Drosophila melanogaster: one gene and its partner. The protein of the gene in region 1 purifies or fractionates together with the protein of each later gene. This does not show direct contact. Each region holds a gene or a part of one and is shown on either strand. Other genes may lie near its edges.

Region 1 (6,386 bases):
CGCTACAGGATACTGGTTACCGGGTACCGGGTACTGGGTACTCGGTATACCGCACCCGTTCACACGCATGACCGAATTCCCATTTTACGCCCCGTCTCTTCCGGGGCCATCGGTCGTGGGCCAAAAGTCCCAGCGGAATCGATGCGGCATTATTATTATTATCATTATTAAAGGAGTCGATATGTGGCGATGGCAAATCCCGGCCAATGCGTATAATATGCCACATGTCCAACCCACTACATCTGAACCCTCCCCCACCCCTCTGATTTTGTTGTATATATGTACATACATATATATTTAATTTTTCCAAAGAAGCCACAAGCGGCGACCGCAATTTGTATCTCATGTGAATTGGATTGCACATGTCAGTATTAGTCATCAAGATTTGCACTTTAGGGCCGTTGCAAGTGTTTTGTTTAAAAAAAAAATAATACTAATAGTTAGTACCCACAAATCACTTAAATATGTATCAATTCTATCTGATTATTATCTCACACCAGATTAATCAAATCATTACTTTTCTTTTGAGTTTACAAGCTAGGAGTACTTCATGGGATAATAAATCCAATGCATCGAAGTGCAATTGCAATCAGAATTATGCGCATGCACACAGTATATATGTATGTATAATCACAGAGTAGTTGGCGCCCCCAAATCCATCACCTCCTCCTCCTCTCTCCCCCCCCCCCCCCCCTTTGAGCTGTGTGTACGTGTTGGCCTATTGAAACAAATTGTAATTAAATGAAATGTATTCCAGGCCGCTGCGACGCAGGCTGCAGCCGGAGGCAGGATCTCTCATTCTCCCTCGGTTTGGGTCACCATGTCAACCAGGTCGCCAGGTGGAAAGGGGTCAACAGTGGCTATGACTGTGGCCGCAAGCATTTTTCCACTTATCCGGGATTAGCAAAAATGCCACATTAAACTAAGTAAACAATTATCGACAGTGGGGCGATATTTGTTAGCTGCATCAAAAGGTAACAATAACTACGTACCCAATCAACCTGATAGCTTGCAGAAATGGAATAAACTTGGGAAGACGACAGTATTTAATTGTATTTAATTATTCACAAAAAGCTCGCCCAGGGTGCACAACAATTAGCATTGTGTACTTTCGCTTGCATGAGTAGTTTTCAATGTCTATTTCAATTTTATTGCTCACTGTTCTGGAAAAGAAATTAATAACAAAACATTAAGAAAACGGCATTGACTCTAATTTGATATTCTTGTAAACAATATAAACTATTAAAAGAAATAAATCTTACAAATCTTACAAAGACATTTTTAAGTTTCTCCACTTCGCTATTTATGTTTTAAAGTCTCCACAATTAAGCTAAGCCAATAAAAAGGACACAAGGATATTCCTCTTTCTTATCTAAGTTCCCCACCTCCTCCGATCACAGTTTAATTCTCCAATTTGCCATAGTTTAATTCTCCAATTTGCCATAGTTTGACTCTTCACTTTGCCATATTAAAGACTTCTACCAAGACTAAAGTCTCCACTGAAACAATCAAAGGATTAGTGGGTAAAATTATCCACGGGAATAATCTACTACCACTAATCCTTTGATTATGGAGACTTTAGCCGTATGCAGGATCACTCTTATCATAGTTTTCCACCACTCGATCGCTTGCCAACACTGATGCACATTATATCGATCTATCGAGCGCGCGATCGGATCTATTGGCGGCAAAGCGCAACCGCAACTGCCATCGCTAGTGTGTTTTCACCGCCTTTTTTATTAAGCGAATAACAAGTGAAGATTTGCTGGGGGAAAACAGGAGCCGCAGGAAACAGGAAACAGGCAGACAGAGAGTACAGCAGAATGCACGCTGGCGTTGTTAAGACGCCGCTCAGCGGCAGGAAAAAAGATGCGGCTGTGCCGGCCAAATCAGCGGAAAAGACGGCCAGCGGTGGCAAGAAGTTCGTGCAGACGCGTTTGCCCTTTAAGTTATTAACGCCAGGCGGTGGGGCGGTGCCCACATCCTCCTCCTCCTCATCGTCCCCCGCCACTATCGGCTCTGGCCCCGTCACTGTAATCCTGGATGAGGACGATCCCGCTCCGCGCAAGCGAAAACTTTCGTACGACGATGAGTCGCCATCGGAGGGCACTGGCTGCTCTACGGGGCAACTGCGACGTTCGACCAGCAAGGAGAATCTGGATCTGGCCAGTTCCATAGCCACTAAAAAGGTCAAGACCACGGATTCGGTAGTGGAAGATGTCATAGAACTGGATGAGGACGAGGCCGACAAGGAGATAGAGGACCAGGATCAGTTGGTAGAGGCCAAGTCCTCCAAGGAGGTCAAGTTGAAGCCCAAGAAGTCGGAGGGCAAGAAAGGCTCGCCGGCACCCATACAAATCAAGCTGCCATTGGTCAACAAACGATCAAAGCGCAGAAAATCCCTGAAGAAATCTGAGGAACCGCTGGAGACTTCGACCGCGGATGTTGCCAAGGGGGACAGCGAGTCCAGCGATGACATAGAGATTATCGCCGAAGAACTGAACCCCCAGAAGAGGCAAAAAGTACAAACGCCGCGTGAGAAATCCCCAGAAAACAGCTCTACAAGCGGCAAGCACACGGAGGAGGTCATGCAGAAGAATGGAAAGGACTCAAAGAAGCAGGAGGAGTCCATGAAGGCGGTCAAGGAGTCGAAGAAGGAAGAGCCAAAGACCGCAGAACAAAATAAAAAGAACGATCAGGCCACAATAGATCTCTTTATGGGAAAGAAAATGGAAACTAATAAGAAGGATAAACCGGAGGTCAAGACCACAGCTAAAGACAACAAGAAAGATCCACTGATTGCAGAGGATTCCAAACCAAAAGAAGTCCCTAAGAAGGAAACAAGCAAAACCGGAGGAAAAGGCAAGAAGGAGGGAGCAAAACCAGCTGAAAAGAGTAAGAAAGAAGAGAAGGAAGACAGCACAACAAAGTCAAAGAAAGAGAAAGCAGACTCACCTGCAAATAATCAAAAAGAACAACAAATTGGAGTCAAGAAAAAGACTTCTGAACCAGAAGATGCATCGAACTCACACAAATCGGTGACGGCCAAAAAGGATTCCAAGAAAGACGAGGCATCTACTCAAGTTAAGTCGGACAACGAATCTCCGGAAGCAGCAGAAATCTCGATGATCCTCTCGACCAGCGAGGCCAACAGTTCCAGCAGCGAGCACGAGATGGATGCGGATACGGACACCGCGGCCACCGACAGACCCTCCGCCCAAAAGGAGACTCGCCTGAACAGGAAGAGTCTGCCGGAAGTAACCGGCGCCCCGAAGGGTCTTACGCCCAAACAGCAACGACTCATGGAGCAAAGGAAAAAGGCTCGCGAGGAGAAGGAACAAAAGCTGGCGGAGGAGCGTCGCCTCAAGCAACAGGATAAGGAGCACCGCGAGCAGCAAAAGAAACAGGAGCGCGACGAAAAGGAACAGCAGCGGAAGCTGGAGAGGGATCAGAAGGAGCAGCAGAGGAAGATGGAAAAGGAGGAGAAGGAGCGCAAGCGACAGGCGGAGGTGGACTCCAAGAACGAGGAGAAGCGCAAGCGCAACGAGGCCAAGGAGGAGGTGCAACGCAAAAAGGACGAGGAGCGTCGCAAGAAGGAGCAGGAGCGTGAGGAGGCCGAGCAAAAGAAGAAGCGCGCCGCCGAGTCCTTCTCCAAGTTCTTCGTGCCCAAGCAGCCCAAGTGCGGCAGCGGATCCAACAACACATCCTACCTGGAGCACGAGCAAAGCAGCTGCGACAGCTCCAAGGCCAGCAGCCAAACGCTGGCCTTTCGACCATTTCAGATCAAGGACGACATGCTGCTAGCACCGATCGTGCGCAACTCGCTCGGCCAGGAGCAGCGCTCCCAGCTAGATGGACTTTTTCGACACCGGGACGAGGAAGCTGACGACGAGGAGGAAGAGGAGGAGCAGGACATCGTCAGACGAAAGCCGCCGAATCGGGCTAATCTCTATCTTAGTGAGTTGAGCAGCGGACGGCGCAAGCCGCTCAAGATGCAGCGCGATGTGAAGCTCCAAAGACGCACCAAGGACGAGGAGGATGATGACGATGTTCAAGTGATAGGTAGGATATGGCTGCAAGATATTAAAGAAGCATTTGTTCTTCACCAATCATCTGCATCTACAGATTACCTTTCACCGGCGGGTCTGCCCATCGAGGTGGAGCAGCCCAAGCAGCTGACCCGAATGAAGGCCAAGTATCTGCATTTCGCCGACAACCGGAGGCCACCGTACTACGGCACCTGGCGTAAAAAGAGCAGCAGCATCTCCGCCCGACGCCCGCTGGCACAGGATAAGGTATGGATCACTTCTTCTGGCTTAAATATCATAACACAAATATCAATAATCATATAACGCAGGTGCTCTTCGACTACGAAGTGGACTCCGATTGCGAGTGGGAGGAGGAGGAGCCGGGGGAATCGTTGAGCGCTAGCGAGGACGAGAAAGAGAAGGAGTCCGAGGAGGAATCGGAAGAGGAGTACAACGAGTGGTACGTGCCGCACGGACATCTCAGCGACGAGGAACTGCAAAACGACGGCGACGGAATGGAAGACGGCCACACGCGGGAGGCGCAGAAGGCCAAACTCCAGGTGCTGCAGCAGGAGTTCGCTCAGGAAATGAAGAAGCAGACGAAAAAGATCAAGGCGCGCCTGTTGGGTCCCGTTTGGCTGGACGAGAACGGCAACAAGTCCGAGCTATTCCCAGCTATCTTTGCCCACACCATCGACATGTACGCCTGTTGGCAGGTGGAGCCACTCAGCCTAGAGCCTCCGCCAGAACCGGAGCGTCAGGATCAGACGCCAGAGCAGCCGGTGCCGCTGCAGCTGGACGATCGTCTCATGCAGCAGCTGGTGCGCCTTACCCACGGCAATCGGAACTCGAAGACGTTCCTGATCAACGAATATTTAGAGTACCTGAAAACCCAAGCGACCGCCGAGGCCAATCAAACAACGCTGCCCTCAAAGGCTGTGCTGCGCGAGAAATTCGACGAGCTTGCCAGCTGGAAGACCGTGGAGCTGAGCACACCCGAAGCCGCTGCCGCCAGTGCCAACAGCGCCAAAAAGGGCAGGAAACCGAAGAAGCGCCTCTGCTGGGTGGTCGCCAGCGATATGCTGGAAAAGTTCCAGCTGCCGGATCTCCAGTTGCAGAATCAATGGAACTACACGTTGACGCCCAAGGTTAGCGACGGACCAGATGCAGCGCAGCAAGAGCAAAGTCCACCAGCGGATGCGGTACCAGCCGCCTCGCCCGCTTCCAACCAGACCACAAACTCGGCACCCACAACGCCCATCAGTGGACAGACGCAGGCGGGTCAGGGCGTCAAGAAGCGGGCCACCCTGATCATGTCCGTGCCCAGGGATCAGCCGATTCCCTCGGCCACCAAGAACAAGCTGATTAGCCAGTTTCTGCAACGCCAGAGCGATGCCAGCAAACCCAAGGAGAAGATGCAGGAGAAGCCACCGCCCATTGTCTTCGATGATGTGGTGATGCTCTCGGATTAAGACTAGGATTAAGCTAGATCCCCTAAGGATCTTCCGCTTCCTGCTAAGCGAGTATTTTAAGAATACACATTTTTTTTGTCGCTAGTTTCACTCGTAAGTTGATTTAATTTTAAATGTTCCGATGTACGTTCGACTTGTATGTCCTTCTCAGCCAACCCATCCCCACCAGGGTCACCCCTGCCCCAACCAGCATCCCACCCACTCGATCGCAAAGTTTTTAAGAAGTTGAGCAACAGAAGCTCGCAGGATTGCAATTTTCATTGAGCCAACTAAACATATATAGTATATATGCAATAATACACTACCTACCTGATGATGATCTTTCATTTGATGGCGATTTTGGGTTCGCATTGGAAATATATAGACACAATACATAAATCTATAGCTACATTTTTCATTTCAGTCCCAAATTATTGGGGGTTTCTTGGTGGAAATCAGTGGAAACAGCGCTTGAAGTTATTTTTAAAACTTGTTTGTTTATTCTTTTTGCCATTTTTGTTACGATTTACGTTTCAATTAAATGAATTATTTAATATACATTTAGTTAAGATTCCCGACAAAAAAAATTAGAAGTGTGTGTTTGGGGATGTGTTGTCTTTAAAAACGTGGACGTGAACGTGTGTCGTACCATTAGATCTGCAAGAGTTAGAGTCCCATCTACATTTAAATACGATTATCCGATTATCCATTAATTATTGCTATTGTAATCGTTGTTTAATTGTTATCTGCCGTCGATATTAGTTAACCGCCGCCCCCCGTTTATCCTCCTTCCCACGTTCCCAAAAGTTTGCTATGCTAACTAAAAGAGCCGAGCATTGTGAGGAAATCTCAAGTTAAAAAAAAAGTGCGTTTACACAGGCGATTATTTTTGAAATAACCGGATGGT
Region 2 (4,951 bases), on another chromosome or scaffold:
ATCTACTGGGTCCGAAAATACATCACTGGCGACGGCAGTCCACGTAGTGACGAAGCGCGCTAGGACAGATTGCATGGCACGACTTTCAAACAATTTTAAGAATCAGGAGGAAAAGTGGTGAAAAAGTAAAGGGGAAAATTAAAAAATTTGGTGCCACTTATTAGTCACGGAAAAGTAAAAAATCTGTTTTCGTCGCAATTTTGCTTGAAAATATTTAGCTGTCTGGTAATAAATGTCTTTTCACAAAGTCCTTCCAAAAAATACGTCCCCGTGCAAATTCATGGAAACTTAACTTGGGACCAGGTAGAACAACCCTCTTGAAGCATTTTTAATTTGAGGATTTCGTGGTACAGTTGACCAGTACAGTCACATAACTTATCAGATGACTTTTGTCACAGGTAGAAGAATCGTGTATGTTGATATAGGAACTACTGAAACTGTACAAACTGCAAATTACTACTGCATTTTGACTGCAATTTTCGTTTTAAAGATCCCGAAGCCAAAGCAATACAATTACCTCTAAACCTTGTGTTGCGTTTTATTGTGGAATATATTAGGAAGAATTTTGGCTATTTTTTACAATTTTGTATGGGGTATCCCCAAAGATCCCAAAAATCTTAATCTTATGAACATAAATCTGTTAAGTCTAATCTATTGCATTGTCTACTCTAAAAGTTTCTTTTTTGATTTGGGCGTGGATATGGTTCGCAAGGACACGCGACGTGGCGTCTTGTTATTCGGCGTGGATGGCCCCGATTCAGTCGGATTTTTTGGCGTTTCCTCTTGCGTATCCTCGTAGACCAGACGAATGTCCTCAGTTCGCTCGCAGGTGGCCTCGCTGGCCTCTATTACCGCTGGTTTCGTTTCGGTCTTTACAGTCTCCGGCAAGGGTTTTCGAGAATCCTTCTTTGTCGCTGGCAGGGGTGTGATGCTCTCGTCGAGGGGCCAGGCATCCATGGCCTCCTCCATTGGGACCACAGGCGAGTTCACCGGCATTTCGATGAGTACGCGTGGAGTTCTCCTCACTGCAATGGGAGTAGCTTGCTTGGCGGGTTGGCTTTTCGGCGTTAGATTAAATTGGCTGGAGCTGCCAGGAGTTCGTGGCTGGCGACGCACTTGAATTGGTGTTGCGGGTCGGGACTTCTTCTCAGGCGATTCGAACTTATCATCAGAACTGATGATCTCCTTCTCGAACACCGGAATCACTGCAAGTGCCGGCTGTGATGTCTCTGCTGGAGGCACTGCCTCTGTGCTCACCTTGCGCTTGACAGGTGATGCCACTGTTTTCTGCACTTGAGTCGTTTTTGTGTGAGTAACTTCCATTTCGTCTTTGGGCTTGCTCGATTCGCTATTCCCCTTATCCTCGGGCTTACGCGGAGCTCTGCGTATAGCAATCGGCATGGGTGCAGTCGAATTTTTACGGGGCGAACGCCTGATGGCGATGGGAGTGGGTTTCTCCTCTTCGCTAGCTTTTGTTTTGGGACTGTTCGTTTTATTCGAACTGACACTGTGCGTTGATGAATCGTTTTCAGCATCCAACTCGGGTTCCCCTACCTCTGTGATACCTGCTTCGGACGCCCTTCTAATTGTATTTGGTTTCGATTTTTCCTGCAGTGGTTTCCGTGGTTCATCCAACGATACCTTGCGCAGCTTTTGCCTCTTCTTTTTCAACACCGTTGCATTCTCTGAAGATTTTAGAACAACGCTCAGCACTGTTTCCATATCTTCATAGCAGTCGCCCAGCTCGGTTGGCTCGAAGGTAATCAGTGAGCAGTAGCCATCGGTGCTGGACACGATCAGGACGGTGCCGTCGCTCGACCAGGCCAAATCCGTAAGCCTGCTATAGTGAATGTTGGACACAATGGCAAACGGCACCGGCTGCTGGGTGTCGTAGAAAAACACAGCGTTCTTTGTGGCCACAGCATAGATCATGCGGTACGGCAGCGAAATAATCGGAGGATTCTTCTCCGCATTGTACGGTCGCAGACGGTACAGTACCGGAGAGCAGCGAACAGCCACCGCATATTCCTTGGGAAAGGGCAGCACAAAGGCGGGTTTGGACAAATCATGGCGACTAAACCCATAGCTGGTGTTTATGGGTTTCACAACACCATCGTAGTCGGTAATTCCTGACGGCGTTAACAGCAGCTTACCATCGGGTGTGAAGCATAAGCGGCGAAAGAAGGTCTGCAAGGTTCCATCTTGGTACAATCGCATGCTCTTGCCGTGCATCTCGTGGTCCTCTTTTACTGGGAGTACACATTTGCTGACTCGGTGCAGAACTCGCTTGGTATTGGCATCAAATATCCGCATTTGTCTAAAAGAAATTTAACTCCATTCGATTAAAGTTCGAACATTTTGGACTGTACTGCTTACCTATCGGTGCTCATGGTGGCGATGTATTGATTGCAGGGATCCCATGCCACGCCCTGTACATAGCCCTTGTGGTCATCTAGAATAGCCAGTGATTTGCCACTGTGCACATCCCAGAGCATCGCTGTGTTATCCACGGATCCGCTGACCAGAAACTGTGAGTTCGGCGCCCAGCTGAGATCGTAGATATCCTCGCGATGGCCGCGCAGTACCTTGAGAGTCAACCAGACCTCCTTGTCCTGTTCACTGCAGCCATCGGCGTCCACAATGTTGACAACTTCGTGGTCGGCCTTCTGTTTCCATATAAAGACAACACTCTCGTCATCGCCGGATGCCAGCAGTTCTCCGTTCGGTGACCAGCGGACAGCGTTGACGGCACGCTGATGCCGGGACAGGTCGGCGGCCAGCTCCACATCCACGCCCTCGGCGTCATCACTTCGGTTAACATACCAAATGAGGACATGGGCATCCGAACCACCAGAGGCTAGGCGGCATATCGTCGGAGAACGCAGCCCCAGGCCATTTTGCTGTATATCCACACTCAGGACAGGATCGCGGTTGTGCCACGAAATCTCGGGTATCTTGCACTTCATCCTGTTTACTTAATGTGCCGCTGTTGATTAGTTGAAGTGCGAAGAGAAAAATCACTTTATGCGGCAGAATTCGCGCCTAAAAGTGTGACCTTCGGTCACGGGAATACCAAATAGTGCTGTTTTCGATTTCTGTTATCGTTAATGGACCGATTGCATATCGAAACGAGGGCTGCACAATCACTTTTAAAATGGTAAACAAAAGTTGGAATATCTGATTTCTTACAGTTTTAACCGATTTTGTTGTGTTGTTTGCAGTCTGTAACGCTGCACACCGACGTGGGTGACCTCAAAATAGAGCTCTTCTGCGATGCCTGCCCCAAGGCCTGCGAAAATTTCCTCGCCCTGTGTGCGAGCGACTATTACAGCGGCTGCGTCTTCATCCGAAACATCAAGGGATTTATTGTCCAAACTGGAGATCCTACGAACACCGGAAAGAATGGACAGTCCATTTGGGGCCAGAAGTTCGACGACGAATTCAAGGAGACCATTAAGGTGAGCCGGCTACCTAGGTTTTACCAGAAAAACCCTCATTCAGTTGCGCCATGACAGCTGGCTTTAATACCCAGCATTCCGGCTTTAAAGGGTATATTGTATCTAATCTTAGAATGTAACCAGCACATGAATCTCAAAATGTATGTTGACATCCATATCATTTTACATTTTAATATGTCATGTGGTTGGGTTCGTTTTTCAGTCTAAAAGATTCCCAAGATACAAGAAGAAATCCTTTAATTCTTGACCACTTAATTCTTCAGCACACTGATCGAGGAATGGTTTCCATGGCCAACAACGGACCGAACGCCAATGCCAGCCAGTTCTTCATTACCTATGCCGCCCAGCCAAATCTTGACTTGAAGTACACGCTCTTTGGCCGTGTGATCGATGGATTCGATGCCCTGGATGAACTGGAGAAACTGCCCGTCAATCCCAAGAACTATCGTCCCCATGTGGACAAGAAGATCAATGGAGTAACTATACATGCCAATCCTTTGGCGACGTGATAGAGATAGAGACAAAGGCCAATCGTACGCTTAAAATGAAATATATTTATAGCACTTAAGGTTACGCGATTTCTTCGATTACAGACTAATTGATTGAGAAACATCAAATATTGTGCAAAAGTATCTAAAGACTAAATCTTAAAACCAGCCAAGTCACAATTGTTTATAAAAAATTGCATTGTTTATGTATAACTCTCACGACGACTTTTGCACTTCATTTCGAACTAGACGGATGTATCAGATGTGTTTAAAACGACCAACTAGGGGGGTAAAAACAAATGCTAACAAGAATCTCGACTACATGGACTAAACGGGATTATGTGGATTTGCCGTTTGTGAGTGATTTGGCGGGCTTCGGATGGTCCTTCATGTGCTGCTCGAACATGCTGCGAATGTCTGACAGAGCCTGCGATATGTTCTGAGCGAAGCGGTGCACATCCTGTAAAGAAAACAATTCGATTAGCTGTGCTCCATGCCATGAATCAGGGCTCCTCATTACCGTTTGCTGGCACGTAGTCTTCGCTGAGATATGGAAGAATATCAGGTTCTCTCCGGCAATAATGTACGACACACCGTAACCATCATCGGCCACGGGCCCAAAGCCGCCTCCAGCGCTGATGCAGTTCGGATGCTTCTTCAGGTCCATCTTGGGCGTCTGGCCGTGCGGAGTCTGACTAGTAGAGAGGCGCCAGGGTTCGCTGAGCACCTCGTTGAGGAAGGGTGAATCCACCTCCAGGTACTTGGAGACCACATACAGGCAGAACAGATGCCTGTCGATGCCACGACCGCACATGGCATCCTGGTAGCCCAACTGGTGACGATCGCAGGCAGCCTGCATCATCTTCACACGCTCATCGTTCTGTACAGCATGGATATATGGATTAGCCTTTGATCTAATTACATAAAATTGTAAAATCTTACGGTTGTATTTGGGTTCTGCATGGCCTTGACCCAGGCGGATGACTCAATGGTGCACGGACGCAC

Evidence for each region.
Region 2: the proteins of Caf1-180 (region 1) and Caf1-105 purify together in Drosophila melanogaster (affinity purification with western blotting; 3 studies listed by BioGRID, with this or other methods). This does not show direct contact.

Annotation. Positions count from the first base shown.
Region 1 is NC_004354.4:8,601,626-8,608,011, reverse strand, and holds Caf1-180 (chromatin assembly factor 1, p180 subunit), read left to right. Parts: upstream 1-1,707; 5' UTR 1,708-1,823; coding exon 1,824-4,062; intron 4,063-4,125; coding exon 4,126-4,295; intron 4,296-4,357; coding exon 4,358-5,500; 3' UTR 5,501-5,875; downstream 5,876-6,386.
Region 2 is NT_033778.4:10,465,480-10,470,430, forward strand, and holds Caf1-105 (chromatin assembly factor 1, p105 subunit), read right to left. Parts: upstream 3,062-4,951; 5' UTR 2,967-3,061; coding exon 2,377-2,966; intron 2,318-2,376; coding exon 664-2,317; 3' UTR 522-663; downstream 1-521. Other genes in the region: CG11777 (uncharacterized protein), read left to right, coding at 3,155-3,157, 3,222-3,458, 3,722-3,967; whd (withered), read right to left, coding at 4,284-4,406, 4,467-4,826, 4,889-4,951.